2 linked regions of the Canis lupus familiaris genome follow. The protein of the gene in region 2 purifies or fractionates together with the protein of the main gene of each other region. This does not show direct contact. Links are inferred from orthologs where the notes say so. Each region holds a gene or a part of one and is shown on either strand. Other genes may lie near its edges.

What was found.
Region 1: the proteins of CXXC1 (region 2) and BOD1 purify together in Homo sapiens (affinity purification with mass spectrometry; 4 studies listed by BioGRID and IntAct, counting the BioPlex papers as one, with this or other methods). This does not show direct contact. The link is inferred for Canis lupus familiaris from reciprocal best matches to the Homo sapiens genes CXXC1 and BOD1.

The regions. Positions count from the first base shown.
Region 1 is NC_049225.1:39,775,438-39,781,897, forward strand, and holds part of BOD1 (biorientation of chromosomes in cell division protein 1), read left to right. Parts: intron 1-3,794; coding exon 3,795-3,919; intron 3,920-5,008; coding exon 5,009-5,204; 3' UTR 5,205-5,205; exon of another isoform or gene 5,206-5,277; intron 5,278-6,251; 3' UTR 6,252-6,460. UniProt on the Homo sapiens protein: Required for proper chromosome biorientation through the detection or correction of syntelic attachments in mitotic spindles.
Region 2 is NC_049228.1:78,681,578-78,689,806, forward strand, and holds the start of CXXC1 (CXXC-type zinc finger protein 1), read left to right. Parts: upstream 1-2,700; 5' UTR 2,701-3,512; coding exon 3,513-3,515; intron 3,516-4,089; coding exon 4,090-4,208; intron 4,209-4,307; coding exon 4,308-4,408; intron 4,409-4,668; coding exon 4,669-4,904; intron 4,905-4,995; coding exon 4,996-5,190; intron 5,191-5,616; coding exon 5,617-5,643; intron 5,644-5,720; coding exon 5,721-5,966; intron 5,967-6,133; coding exon 6,134-6,241; intron 6,242-6,417; coding exon 6,418-6,602; intron 6,603-6,873; coding exon 6,874-7,081; intron 7,082-7,160; coding exon 7,161-7,271; intron 7,272-7,398; coding exon 7,399-7,448; intron 7,449-7,591; coding exon 7,592-7,688; intron 7,689-7,967; coding exon 7,968-8,120; intron 8,121-8,204; coding exon 8,205-8,229. UniProt on the Homo sapiens protein: Transcriptional activator that exhibits a unique DNA binding specificity for CpG unmethylated motifs with a preference for CpGG.

The DNA.
Region 1 (6,460 bases), on a different chromosome or scaffold from region 2:
CAGAAAGCTTCCGGAGTCGTGTACACGTGGTTGGGCTCCCAGCCCCATGACTGCGAGCGGGGCGGCGGTCCAGTCGTTGTGTGAACGTAGGGGGGAGAGCCTGCATCCTGTCTTTCCCAAGCTGAGACGTCTTTGAGCCCCTCAGTAACAAACCTCTGTGTGTTAAGAACGTTGGAGAAGACCAGTAAGGAAGCGAGAAGGCGTGAATGCGCCGTCGTCACCTGTGGTAGCTGCTAGCTATTGCTTCTTCCCGCTAGCTTAGTGATTTGCACTTTGGGTATCCAGTCGAATTAAGGTACGCCCTTAATTACCCTTTTACTCCAGAACCGACACCCTTTTACTCCACCGTGGCTCAAAGGGGATTTGGTGCCAATTTTAGATCCGAATGCCTCCTAGTAAAATGCTATTTCATGTTACTTGCCACAGCCCTGGGAATTCCATGAAGCCACGTGTTACCAGACATAACAGTAGTTGCTGGAATGTTCCATTCTCTCCCTTTTCAGAAGCTTTTCTAAGAAGATTAGGTTTGTCGGTGTAGGAGGCGCCGTTAACTCCTCTAGGGAAGTGATTTCTTCCTCTCTGAGAAAATCTGCCTGTCTAACAGGAGGATTGTGAACCTAAAATTACAACTCAAAGATAGGAAAAGACGTCCTCCATTTAGTCATTGACATTTACTGGCCTATAGCATGTGGGCTGTGTGGATACAGGAACAAGTAAGTCATTACCTGTCCTCAAAGCTTGTACTGTAGGGTAGAAAACTGACATGTGGACCTGAGAGTATAAACAGTAAGTGGTGCTAGAAGTGGTTAATGCTTAATTTTCCTTATGTGAGGTGTCTCAGATACATACCAACTGAGCTTCCACCATTCCCAGGACTCTGGGTATTCTTAACTTCCCATCACAAGTTCTCCACTCATATCTCTTATGTTCAGTTTTATGCAGCTAAATCCATGTAGTATGCATGTTATTTTAAAAAGAAACAGGGATGCCTGGGTGGCTCAGTGGTTGAGCCTTTGGCTCAGGACCTGATCCTGGGGTCCTGGGATCAAGTCCCACGTCGGGCTCCCTGCATGGAGCCTGCTTCTCCCTCTGCCTGTGTCTCTGCCTCTCTGTGTATGTGTCTCATGAATAGATAAATAACATCTTTAAAAAAGGGAAATCAGTATTGTAAAGCTGTTGGGGAAAGGAGAGTTGGAGCCTCCCCCCACATAACACCTTATATGTTCCTTCCATTAGCTACTGGGTGGTTTTAATTCTGGAAGACAGTGTGTTTTCAGACACTGTTGCTTTAGCTCCATGGTCTCAGTGTGACTCTTGGATCAGCAACACCAACCTCACCTGAGAATTTGTTAGAAATATATATTCTTAGGCTTAGGCCCTTTCCCAGACTGCTGAAATATTTGGGGGAAAATGTACTGATGATGTTTGTAATTTACTTTGCAATGCACCCAAAATACAAATAGAACAAACTGATAAGTGAATCAAGTGAGGGATAGATAGTGCAATAAAATGTTAATGGCAGGTACATTCTGTCCTTTCACTTCAAGAACTGAAGGGATTGTTCTATATTGTCAAGATCTTTTCGGGTTTGGGGATGATATTTGCTGTCCTTTGTCCTTTTTCAGTAAGCAGTAACTTATTTCAAACAGGGTAACGTATTTTCTTTTTTTTTTTTTTTTTTAAGATTTTATTTATTTATTCATGATAGTCACACAGAGAGAGACAGAGAGGCAGAGACACAGGCAGAGGGAGAAGCAGGCTCCATGCACCGGGAGCCCGACGTGGGATTCGATCCCGGGTCTCCAGGATCGCGCCCCGGGCCAAAGGCAGGCGCCAAACCGCTGCGCCACCCAGGGATCCCGGGTAACGTATTTTCAATAGCAGAAAGTATAATATCAGGACGCATAGTTCCCAGTTACAAATTAATTCTAGTTCCTTTAAGCAAAGGAGTGAATCTGTTGACTTGAGGAATGCAAGAAAGGACTAAATGAGCAAACTGGGGGAATCCCTGGGTGGCTCAGCGGTTTAGTGCCTGCCTTTGGCCCAGGGTGTGATCCTGGAGTCCCGGGATCAAGTCCCACATCAGGCTCCCTGCATGAAGCCTGCTTCTCCCTCTGCCTGCATCTCTGCCTCTCTCTGTGTGTGTCTCTCATGAATAAATAAATTAAATCTTAAAAAAAAAAAAAAAAAAAAAAAAACGAGCAAACTGCCAGAAGAGGGATGCGTTTGGAACCAAGGATGCTCCACAGGGGCTGTCTTTCATCTCTGCTCTATAACTCTTTTATTGTCACTGCAGAGTCATCCATTTGGTTACTAGTATTTTGATTACATCTTACATCTTCTTCCTATAGAAAAGGGCTCTCAACTCCTATTCAAAAAATCTCAGGGAACATCAGCATTGTCTTAGCATGGGTCAGGCACCAGCCTTGCCGTCAGGAGAACATGGCACCCTCTGCCGGACCTTTGTGAGGGAAGGAGGACGAGTTGCTAGGTAGATAGTACATGGGTGTTTGTGTGTCAATTCACTTGGCCGTTGGCAGAATCTGCATATAGAGTTGAAGCGTGCTGATTTGTCTATTTCATTTACCTGTTAGCAAACTTTTGCCTCGGTGACACTGCATAATAAACCAAATCACAATGGCTTAGGATAAGCGTTCATTCTCATGCTGCTAGGGTTACAGGTCAGCTGGAGTTCAGCTAACCTAAGTAGGCTTCAGCTGGGTGACTCAGGTGGCCTGGGTTTGGGTTTAGCTCGGCTATGTATAAACTCATCTTAGGTCCCAGGACATGCCCTCATAGACGGTCACTAGAGCACAAGAACCAAGCTAGACAGAGCACAACCACATCGAAGGTCTTCGGTCACTAGCACTCCATTGACAAGACCATATCGTGTTGCTAAAACTCCCAACTTCATTGGGGTAGGGAAGCAGTCCCTGCGCAGCAGGAGAACAGGGGTGATGCTTAACAGCAATGCTTACTGTTATTCTTGATTTGAAGAAGAGCAGCTGATTGTACCAGAAGGTCTTGGAGGCTGAGAACATATATTCCATGTGTTTATCAAGTTCCTTCTAATTTTGTTCTGATCATAGTTGGATATAAAACATTTGAGGCCGATAAATAGCTCAAGCTCCATTTTTGGACTTAAGCTGTGCTTCGCCTCAGCCTTTCCCAGTGTTCCATAGGCTTTGACTTTAGTCTCCTATTTTCATAGCGCCCTGAGGTTTGGGTGGCCCTACATTTTATACAGTATACTTTCCTGAGTCCTTATTTGTTGCTGAGATACCCTGTGAGGTAAGTGGGGCGTAGCATTTCAGGTTTACAAATGGAAATAACTGAGACTGAAAGGTTGGTGACTTGTTGAAAGTCAGACGGCCAGTTAGTGGTGGCTCTGGGCTAGAACCCAGTTCCTCTGATTTAGAAACAGACTAGGTCTGACCTTGGATTTGCCACATTTTGGCCATGTGGGCAAGTTGTTTCTTTTTTCTAAGTGTAAATTTCTTATCTCTAATATGGGGGCAGGAGAGAGTTCTGGAACCTCCCTGTACCATTACTTGGAAAGTAAGTAGGATGATAAAGCATCTGGCCTTGTGCCTGCCCACCATAAAGTAAGCTCTTGCATTGCTTGTTAATGTATGCTCTGCTGTGCTATGTGGGGTGATCTTCATAGGCATGGTGGAAGTGTCTCTAAGGTCTTAAAATCTACATTTCTCTGAAAAGCAGTATTCTTGAATGACTGATTTCTAAACTTTGGTGCATATAACTTCTTTCCTTGCCTCCTCTTCTTAATGTTTTAGCCAGCTTACCAAAACCTGAGGCAGAAGGTGGATAATTTTGTGTCAACACATCTGGACAAGCAGGAATGGAATCCTACAATGAACAAAAACCAGTTGCGAAATGGTCTGAGGCAGAGTGTGGTTCAGTAAGTAGAATTAAGAGTGAAAAGGCGATAATCATGTAGGATGCACAAGAAAGCTGATAGGCATCATTATTTGGTCAGGGTGAATGGCATTTTACAGCAAATCCCACACACAAGTCCTAGCAGTCCACCCTTTATTAAAGTTAAGGTTCAAGTAAGCAAAGGACTCAGCTGACATTCTTGCTAGTTTATCCAACCTCCTTAGACTCCTGTGTAAACTCTACCGGGTGCATTGAAAGATACTTCAAGTTGTGAAACACAGTTCTCTCTTGCTTGAAGTTTTCAGCATAGTCGGCACATACATAGGAGTTTTAGACCCAGATAGCAGTGTTTGGATCTTGGGCAAGAGGAGTTGGATCTTTAGTATCATAAGGAAATGGGAGTTCTACAAAATCTTTGAGTCCATATGGCCCTCTCACATGTAATGGCAGCTTTTAGGAAGGCATGGAGTCTTATTAAAGCATGGCCTTCACAGTAACAAATGGAACCTTAGTTAATAAGGTGCTGCTGATAGCTCATCCAAGTGACTTCTTAATGTTGCTGGGCATAAAAGTGGAGGCAGTCATGGAATATGGTGTCCTAAGATAAGTTTTTCTAATCTACTTGAGATCTTTTTTGCTCTTATTACTGGCACTCATGTTCAAGTCTTGATCCACTGAACTCTACTGGAATATCTAAAAGCTTGTGAAGCCTACCTCCTTAGGTATAGAAATATGAGGGAATTATGCTTAGTGAAAAAAACCAATATCAAAAAGAAGTATGGTGACTCCATATATGTAACATTGGTGAACAAAGTTATAGCAATGGAGACAAAAATAGTGGTTGCCTAGGGCTTTAGGGATAGGAGGAGGAGGGGAGTGAGTGTGACTTGAAAGGGGTAGCACAAGGGGATACTCTGGTGGTATGGGTAAGATCTTCATTACCTGCAGTTACGTGGTGAAATGGCACAGAGCTACGCATACAACAGAGTGTGGTTACATGTGTGAAAACTAAGGTTGGGTTGTACTGGTTATCATTTTTCCAGTTTGATATTGCACTGTCAGTATGCAGGGTGCACAGACCTTCAAAGAATGATCTTTTTGTTTCCACAAGGTCAGGGATGTTGGAAGCTGGAGTGGACAGAATCATTTCTCAAGTGGTGGATCCCAAACTAAACCACATCTTTAGACCACAGATAGAAAGAGCAATTCATGAGTTCCTGGCGGCCAAGAAAAAAGAAGCTGTGCCAGCGCCCCCTCCAGAGCCTGAGAGCCAGGACCCCCCAGCTCCATCCCAGGATGCTTCCTAAGGTCCGGTATCCCATCTTTTGTCCAGGAGCATTCATCTCTGACTTATAGATAAATAAAATGGATAGAAAAGGGGTAAGCCACTATTGGGGATCATATTCTTTATGTATTCAGAAAAGCATTTACTGCAGATAGACTTCACCTACTATTTAAAAGTCATTTTTTACTGAGAACTAATGAATAGCATTCTCCTGTCTTGGTATGAGTTTCTGTGCCACCAGAGCTAAACATTTAAGCTGTGAATAGATGCTTCATTAGAAATAGTTAGCATCTATTAGATGCTATTAGATGCATTAGAAACTATTAGAAATAGATTAGCATCTATTAGAAATAGATGCTTCATTAGAAAGCCTGGGATGATTGTTGTGCACAAGAGAAATTCAAAGGAAAGTTCTGTTTTTCTGAAATTGATAAAACAAGTCTCACGCCTGGACATGAATTAAACTTGGGCTTGCAATTTGAATATAAAGTCGAACAATGTATTAAAAAACGCCATCCTAAATAAGACTCAGTTTGCTTTAAGCCCTGCTGTATTTCCCTGTATTTAGGGATTATAGTTTACCAGTGACAGTTACCATGGGATTCTTGTGTTATATGCATACCCCTTCTAATTACATTTGGGATTTAATTTAATCTTAAAAGCCAGCTATAGATGCACAAAGCAATACTTTTTGCAGGCTTTGAGACATTAGTAAATATGAGCAGTGATCAGCAAGTAAGCAGTGGATTCTTACCTAGCCATTGTTAGTAATCTGTCCTCTCAGTCCATTTTGGTGTTCTGTTTGTAAGATTCATTAAGATGTTTATAATTTTTTATAAGAAAGCATCAATGAGTGAACAGAACAAGAGCATAAAGCTCGTGTGGGGCACTGCCTTAAGGGGAGGGGGGTTGTCTTTTTGTGCCTGTATTGGGGGAAAACCTCAGTTCCATTATGGAGTGTAAAACATTACCAGTCTTTAAGTTTAATTGTAAATTCCTTTAGAAGCATTAAAATCAAATGTAGTCTCTTATCAAAAAGCATTTTAATCTGATTCTCTTATCTTTTCAGAGTATGTCTGACACCTTTTGGAAGCTCCATTGAATTAACCGCGAAGAAATGGATTCGGTTACTTAAGAGTACAACTTCAGAATGAAGACAGGCCGAGGTCATCACTGATTTCAGCATGCAGCCCTGACTGTGGGCAGTGTCCAGATTGAACAGGCAGTAGCAGAGTTGACCATGTGTGCTCCCTCATTGTGCTGTCATCTGGTCAGCCT
Region 2 (8,229 bases):
TGTTGGCCTGTCATTTTCTTTTCTTGTAATATCTTTGTCTAGTTTAGTATCAGGTAAATGATTATGAAAATGAACTGGAAAGTATTTCTTCCTCATCTATATTACCTCAAACACTTTGTACAGGACTCATCTTTTTCTTCCTTAATATTTGAATTTACCAGTGAAGCTATTTGGGCTTGGAGTTTTCTTTGTGGGAAAGCTTTTAATTAGAAATTCAAGTAATTTTATCACTGCTTGGCTACTCAAAATCTCTATTTCTTCATGTGTTACTTTTTGGTAAGTTGTCTTTTTCAATGAATTTGTCCATTTTATCTAAGTAGTCAAATATATTGGGCAGCCCCCGTGGCGCAGCGGTTTGGCGCCGCCTGCAGCCTGGGGTGTGATCCTGGAGACCCGGGATTGAGTCCCACATTGGGCTCCCTGCATGGAGCCTGCTTCTCCCTCTGCCTGTGTCTCTGCCTCTCTCTCTGTGTCTATGAATAAATAAATAAAATCTTTAAAAATATATATATTTTGCATTAGGTTGGTATAAATGTGTGAATAATCCATTTTTAGTATCTATAAGATCCATACTGATGGCTCTTTTTGCATTTGCATTCATGAGGTAATTTGTGTCTTCTTACTGTTTTTTCTTAATTGAATAAATATTTAATAAATCATATTTTAAAATTACAGTAATTGAATATATGCTTAATTCAGTTTAGTTACATAACATTAGAAAGTAATGAATTGAGGTGTCTGGGTGCCTCAATGGTTGAGTGTCCTGCCTTCTGCTCAGGGCATTATCCTGGAGTTCCAGGATTGAGTCCCACATTTGGCTCCCTGTGAGGAGCCTGCTTCTCCCTCTGCCTATATCTCTGCCTCTCTCTGTGTCTCTCATGAATAAATACATCTTTTTTTTTTAAGATTTTTTTATTTATTTAAGACAGAGAGAGAGAGAGAGAGAGAGAGAGAGGCAGAGACACAGGCAGAGGGAGAAGCAGGCTCCATGCAGGGAGCCTGATGTGGGACTCGATCCCCAGTCTCCAGGATCATACCCCAGGCTGAAGGCAGTGCCAAACTGCTGGGCCATCCGGCTGCCCTAAATAAATAAATCTTAAAAAAAAAATTAATGAATTAGATGAATTTAAATTAATATTTAAATATGTTAATTCAAATGGGATTAATCAAATCATATTAAAGTATAACAAAGTAAACAATATTAAATTGAAATTAAATGATACACAATACTGAACTGAATAAATTGAATTGAATGAATTGAATCAATATTTTATTTTTTATTTTTATTTTTAAAAAATATTTATTTAGTTATTTATTTATGATAGAGAGAGAGAGAGAGAGAGAGGCAGAGACACAGGAAGAGGGAGAAGCAGGCTCCACGCTGGGAACCCGATGTGGGACTCGATCCTGGGACTCCAGGATCGTGCCCTGGGCCAAAGGCAGGCGCTAAACTTCTGAGCCACCCAGGGATTCCCCTGAACTAATATTTTAAATAAAATTAAATTTAGTAAGTCAAGTCAGTGATGTTAAATTAAATGAGTAATTAATTTAAGTTAAACTTGAACTATATTCCCTTAAATTTACTTTCATACATCAAATTGTAATTAAGTTAAAATTGAATTATTTGAAATTTATTGGTTAAATTTATCTGAGTATCTTACCAACACATGCATATTCATTTATACTAACTAAAGTTAATTTAATACATTAAATGAACTAAATTCGAAGAATTATGTTAATTAAAATAAGTTACAATCAAATTAAGATTAATTCAGTATTAACTAGAAAAAGGAGGCAAGTCTGGATCTGAAGGTCCACTTTGTGGATTAAAGACGGGCTTTAGGGGATCCCTGGGTGGCGCAGCGGTTTGGCGCCTGCCTTTGGCCCAGGGCGCGATCCTGGAGACCCGGGATCGAATCCCACGTCGGGCTCCCGGTGCATGGAGCCTGCTTCTCCCTCTGCCTGTGTCTCTGCCTCTCTCTCTCTCTCTGTGACTATCATAAATAAATAAATAATTCTAAAAAAAAAAAAGAAGAAGAAGAAGACGCGTTTTAAGGAGAGAGGGTCACACAGTCCATGATGCAGCTCCTGTGACTTCGGTTGTCTGTGACGGTGTGGAGGGGCCACGAGTAAAAATGTCTAGGAAAGGTGAAAACAAAAACAAAAATCAGACCCGACACCGCCCTCAGGAGAATCATCAGGAGCAAGTACGTTACTATGATGTCCAGAGCCAAGAAATCCAGAACGACTGTCAGCACCCGGTGACAAGTTTCATTTTCCCCAGGCCCCCCGCCCCCCCAACCTGAATAGAGTCGTGACCCTGAACGCGGACATTCCCTGTGACCCGGGCTCGCGCATCTGCTGGGGGTTGGGGCGGGGGCGCTGACCCGTTAAAACCCGCCCGACCGCTCAGGTTGCCTGAGTTACAGCCTGGCCTTAAGGACGTGTCCAGAGCTCCGACCTGTCCGGTTTTTTTTTTTTTTTTAAATGTACGGAGTCTAATTAAAAAATTGTAAGAACTAACTTCATAGGAGAGAATTGAGTATGTCTGATGGAAGAGAGCCAGAGTGGACGTCACGGGGATCCCGGCGAATCCACATCCCGGCGGTGGCGGGGTCAGGGGAAGACGCGGTGTAGCCGGTGTCTCGGGTTCCGGGGTCTGCTGTGGCTCGGCCCCTTGTCACCAGGGTCGGGCCCTTCACCTGCATCCTTCCGTTCGGAGGGTGACCGCGCTCCCGCAAGGGCCGAGGCTGCAGGGCGCCGGGCTGGGCTGAGGACCTTCGAGGAGGACCCGGGGCGCGAAAGGGTGGTGAGGATGACGTCAGACACAGAACGGGGGAACATGGGCACAGTCCGCTGGCGCCCCATTAACACACGTGGGAGGGAAACGTGAGTGAATGGAAGACGGAGTGTAACTCGAGGCACGTGGTGTTTCGGGAGCAGCCGCTTTTCCTTTGAACTTCTCTGCAGGGCAAGCCGCCATCGTACGGAGTCGATGCCAAAATGGCGGCGCCCTCCTGGAGACCGCGGGTAGGACGCTGCCATGCATTGCCCGTGAACGTACGGACTCGGCCATCTTACGGAATCAGTTTCCAAGATGACGGCATCTGCGTGGAAGCCGCGCACAGGCGCCGCCATATTTCCTGTAACGTTGAGTCCGTACGAGCGGCCACCGTACGGAGTCGGCCGACAAGGTGGCGGTGCCCTCGCGAAAGCGGCCACATAGGTGCGGCCATGTTTCCTACTAGTTTACGGCCCTGACCGCCGTACGGTCTTGGTCGTCAAGATGGTGGCGCCTGAGAGACCGTGGCGGCTCTAGGCGGCGGATCGACTTGTTTGGTGCGGAGCCGACGCATTAGTCCTGCGCAATAAGAGTACGGTGCCCGGGAGGCGCGACCAAAGCGGAAGTAGTTGTGGGCGCCTTTACAACGGCCGCGGACGCCGCCGAGAGGTCTGTGCGGGTTCGCGGGTCGCTGGCGGGGGTCGCAGAGGGGTGCGCCGAGAGCGGAGAGATGGTAAGTACGGGGCCGGGGAGGGTCGGCGGTAGGGGTCGGCGGGTCGGCGGCGGGGGGTCCGTGGGCAGACTCGGGGGGTCTGTGGTGAACCGTCAGGGGCGTCCGCGGGCGCTCGGGCGGGGGCCTGTGGGGAGCCTCAGAGGGGGCTGCGGGTGGAATGTCGGGGTCCGGGGTTCCGAGCTTGTTCCGACGTGTGAGCCACCTGGGAGTTTTGTGACGGGCCCCTGCGCGGCTCCGTGATGGAAGTTAGTGGGGACGCCTTTCGGCAGCTCGTCGGGGGCCCGCTCGGGGACTGCGGGGCGGCGGGACCCGGCGTCTGGGCTGAGCCTGCCCGGCGGCCCGTAGCGAGCGGGGCAGTCGGCGTCGGGCCGGCGGGGAGGCGCGAGGGGGCGGGGCTGCCCGGGCGCTAGTGACCGTGACCGCGACCGTGACCGTGAGCGGGGCGGGGCGGGAGGTCGGGGTGCCGGCGTGGGCCGGGCCGGGAGGGTCGCGAGGAGCCGCGGTGGGAAGCGTGGGCAGACGGTCGCGGTCTGTGGAGGCCGTGGTGGGGCTGCTCTAAGGCACCGTCCCGCAGGAGGGGGACGGCTCCGACCCAGAGCCTCCAGACGCTGGGGAGGACAGCAAGTCGGAGAACGGCGAGAACGCGCCCATCTACTGCATCTGCCGCAAACCAGACATCAACTGCTTCATGATGTGAGCCGGGGAGAGGCGGGCGGGCTGACGCCGGCGAGGTTGGGTGAGGCTGATGGGTGCGGCCCCTCACATCTGCACCACTCACCCCATCCTCTGCAGCGGGTGTGACAACTGCAATGAGTGGTTCCATGGGGACTGCATCCGGATCACTGAGAAGATGGCCAAGGCCATCCGGGAGTGGTACTGTCGGGAGTGCCGAGGTGAGGGGGCGGCCTGGACGGGGGGCACACCCACCTGCCTCCAGGGAGAAGCCTTCAAGGAGGGTGGGTCCCGGGCCGAGGGACTCGGTTTGTGGTGAGCTGCAGCGGAGACTCCAACGGGCGCTTGGCTAGAGCGTCCCCCAGCGGGGTAGCCCTGCCCCGGAGGAGTGACGGGGAGAAGGTGGGGGGGACCAAGATGAAGAGGAACCCTCCGAATCCCTCAGGGTCCACCCACCCTGGCCCCACTGTCTTCCCCACAGAGAAAGACCCCAAGCTGGAAATCCGTTATCGGCACAAGAAGTCACGGGAGCGGGACAGCAATGAGCGAGACGGCAGTGAGCCCCGGGATGAGGGTGGAGGGCGCAAGAGGCCTGCCCCGGATCCAGACCTGCAGCGTCGGGCGGGGTCAGGGACAGGGGTTGGGGCGATGCTTGCTCGGGGCTCTGCTTCGCCCCACAAATCCTCTCCACAGCCCTTGGTGGCCACACCCAGCCAGGTGAGTGGCTGCTGGGGCTGGGATAGGTAAGCTGAGCCTCCCGCAGGCCCCGTACACGTTCCTGATTTTTGTACTGGGCCTCTCCCCTCAGCATCACCAGCAGCAGCAGCAGCAGCAGCAGCAGCAGCAGATCAAACGGTCAGCCCGCATGTGTGGCGAGTGTGAGGCCTGCCGGCGCACCGAAGACTGTGGCCACTGTGACTTTTGTCGGGACATGAAGAAGTTTGGGGGCCCCAACAAGATCCGGCAGAAGTGCCGGCTGCGTCAGTGCCAGCTGCGGGCCCGGGTGAGCATGGGTAGAGCTGGGCAGGGCTGGGGGTGTCAGTGTGTCCAGGAAAGGCTCGTGGAGGCCAGGAGGGGGCAGGCTGGGCGGGTGAGCTGGGGCCTTGCTACACACAGACAGGTGGGAAGGAGCCTGGCCTGTGTAGGTGAACAGGGCGTGACCAGGTGTGTGGGGCTAGCAGGGGCATCCCCGACCCCAGGTGGGCAGGGCAGACCCCCCCCCCCCCCCCCCGGCCATTTTCAGCGGTCAGGCACGTCAGGGCAGGTGGAGCAGGGTTGAGCATGTCCTGGTGATGTGAAGCGGGGGTACTAGGTGTGTCTGGGAGGCAACACAGGGCAGTTGGTGGGCTAGGCTCTTGTGGGTGGGGCTAGGGCAGGGCCACCCTCCATCCACCTGGGGCTGACCTGGGCCTTCCTCCTGCCGGCACAGGAATCGTACAAGTACTTCCCTTCCTCGGTGAGTCCAGCCCCCCAGGGCGGGGCGGGGCATGCGGGCAGGGCGGTCAGGGCCAGTCCTGAGATTCTGCCCTGCAGCTCTCGCCAGTGACGCCCTCAGAGTCCCTGCCACGGCCTCGCAGGCCACTGCCCACCCAGCAGCAGCCACAGCCATCACAGAAGCTGGGGCGCATCCGTGAGGACGAGGGGGCAGTGGCATCATCAGCAGTCAAGGAGCCACCGGAGGCTACGGCTACACCTGAGCCACTCTCAGATGAGGACCTACCACTGGATCCTGACCTGTACCAGGACTTCTGTGCAGGGGCCTTTGATGACCATGGCCTGGTGAGCAGCCAGAGCGTTCCATGGTGGAAGGGTGGAGGTCACAGAAGCGGAGTTTCCGTGGTGAGGAGAGCTGGAAGATAAGGCGGAGTATGGAAGGCTGATCTGGGAACTGAGTGGGTGGGGTGGTCATGGGCGGGCAGGTGGGTCAGCATGTGCCTCACTTGCAGCCCTGGATGAGCGACACAGAGGAGTCTCCATTCCTGGACCCTGCCCTACGGAAGAGAGCAGTGAAAGTGAAGCACGTAAAGCGTCGGGAGAAGAAATCCGAGAAGAAGGTGATGGAGAGGGTGAAATGGGTGTGAGAAGGCAGAGGGCAGGGAAGGTAGGGAGAGGCAAAGATCAGGAGCTGGGTGGGGCAAGAGCCAGAAGTGGTGGTGGGGGCAGCGGGACACAGGGAACTGGGGCTGACTTTAACTCCACCCTAACCTGACCTGACTGCTTCGTCCCTTAGAAGGAAGAGAGATATAAGCGGCATCGGCAGAAACAGAAGCACAAGGACAAATGGAAACACCCAGAGCGCGCCGACGCTAAGGATCCTGCATCACTACCGCAGTGCCTGGGACCTGGCTGTGTGCGCCCTGCCCAGCCCGGCTCCAAGTATTGCTCAGATGACTGTGGCATGAAGCTGGCAGCCAAGTAAGTCATTCCTGGAGAGCACAAGGGAGTCAGGGAGTACAGGGCAGGGCATGGCTAGAGCCTTCTGTGTGTCTTCTCATCAGCTACCTGCCTGCTGCTCAGTCCGTGGTGCACCCGTCTATCTGTCCCTCATCTGCTTGTCTACCATCCAGTCACTTACTTATTCTTTGGCCGTTTGGTCACCCATCTCTTCTGCCGTTCTTGGATCACCCCACTTGTCTTGTTCCTTGCCACTTTCCCTGCCTGCACCTAACCCCCTGCCTCCCTGCAGCCGCATCTACGAGATCCTCCCCCAGCGCATCCAGCAGTGGCAGCAGAGTCCCTGCATTGCTGAGGAGCACGGGAAGAAGCTGCTCGAACGTATTCGCCGTGAGCAGCAGAGTGCCCGTACCCGCCTTCAGGAGATGGAGCGCCGATTCCATGAACTTGAGGCCATCATTCTTCGTGCCAAGCAGCAGGCTGTCCGTGAGGATGAGGAGGTGAGTGAGCACAGGCCCAGCGGCCCTGGACCCAGTACCCGGTCCTGCCTGGCTTCATTGTTCCTTCCACTCCACACAGAGCAATGAGGGTGACAGTGATGACACGGACCTGCAGATCTTCTGCGTCTCCTGCGGGCACCCTATCAACCCACGTGTTGCCTTGCGCCACATGGAGCGCTGCTATGCCAAGGTCAGGGTGTCACCCTGAGGGGGACTGTCATTGGGTCGTGGGGGAACAGATGGGTTATCTGGGGGTTGTCTCGGGAGGGCATGCAGCACACATCCACAGTGCCCTCCGTTTGTGCTCATCCCTCTAGTATGAGAGCCAGACGTCCTTTGGGTCCATGTACCCCACACGCATTGAGGGGTGAGTGTGGGCGCTACGTGGAGTTAGAGCAGGGAGGTTAAGGCTGGGGTCAGAAGTGGCATGTTGGGGCAGAATGGGCCTGGGCAAGAACAGATGGGTCCCCCGCCTTTCTCCCCACTACCTTCTATCTTCTAAACCTCCAGAGCTACACGACTCTTCTGTGATGTCTACAACCCTCAGAGCAAGACATACTGTAAACGGCTCCAGGTGCTGTGCCCCGAGCACTCCCGGGACCCCAAAGTAAGGTTTGCTCTCAGTTCCTCCCATTCTGTCCTTTCTTCCTCCTCCCTGCCTCCCTTCCTCCTCCCTTGTGTCCTCCCCTCTCCTCCTTCCTTCCTTTTCCCTACTTGACCCCTTCCGTAACTCTCACTTTGCTTGCCTTATCACTCCTCGTTCCTCTCCTTTTTCCTCTCATCATCTCGTTTCTCCTTTTCCATTCCTCTGTACTCCCTGAACTCTCTTCATTCCTTCCTACCTTCCTCCACCCCCATTCATCCCTGACCCCCGATTTCCTTGCAGGTGCCAGCTGATGAGGTATGTGGGTGCCCTCTTGTACGTGATGTCTTTGAGCTCACGGGTGACTTCTGCCGCCTGCCCAAACGCCAGTGTAACCGCCATTACTGCTGGGAGAAGTTGCGGCGTGCTGAAGTGGACCTGGAGCGTGTGCGCGTGGTAGGTGTCCATGCTAAATGAGGCTGGAGTTCAGGTGGAGCTTCCGGAGCTCCTTCTCATGGCTCTTTTCTACTCCCCTCTCAGTGGTACAAGCTGGATGAGCTGTTTG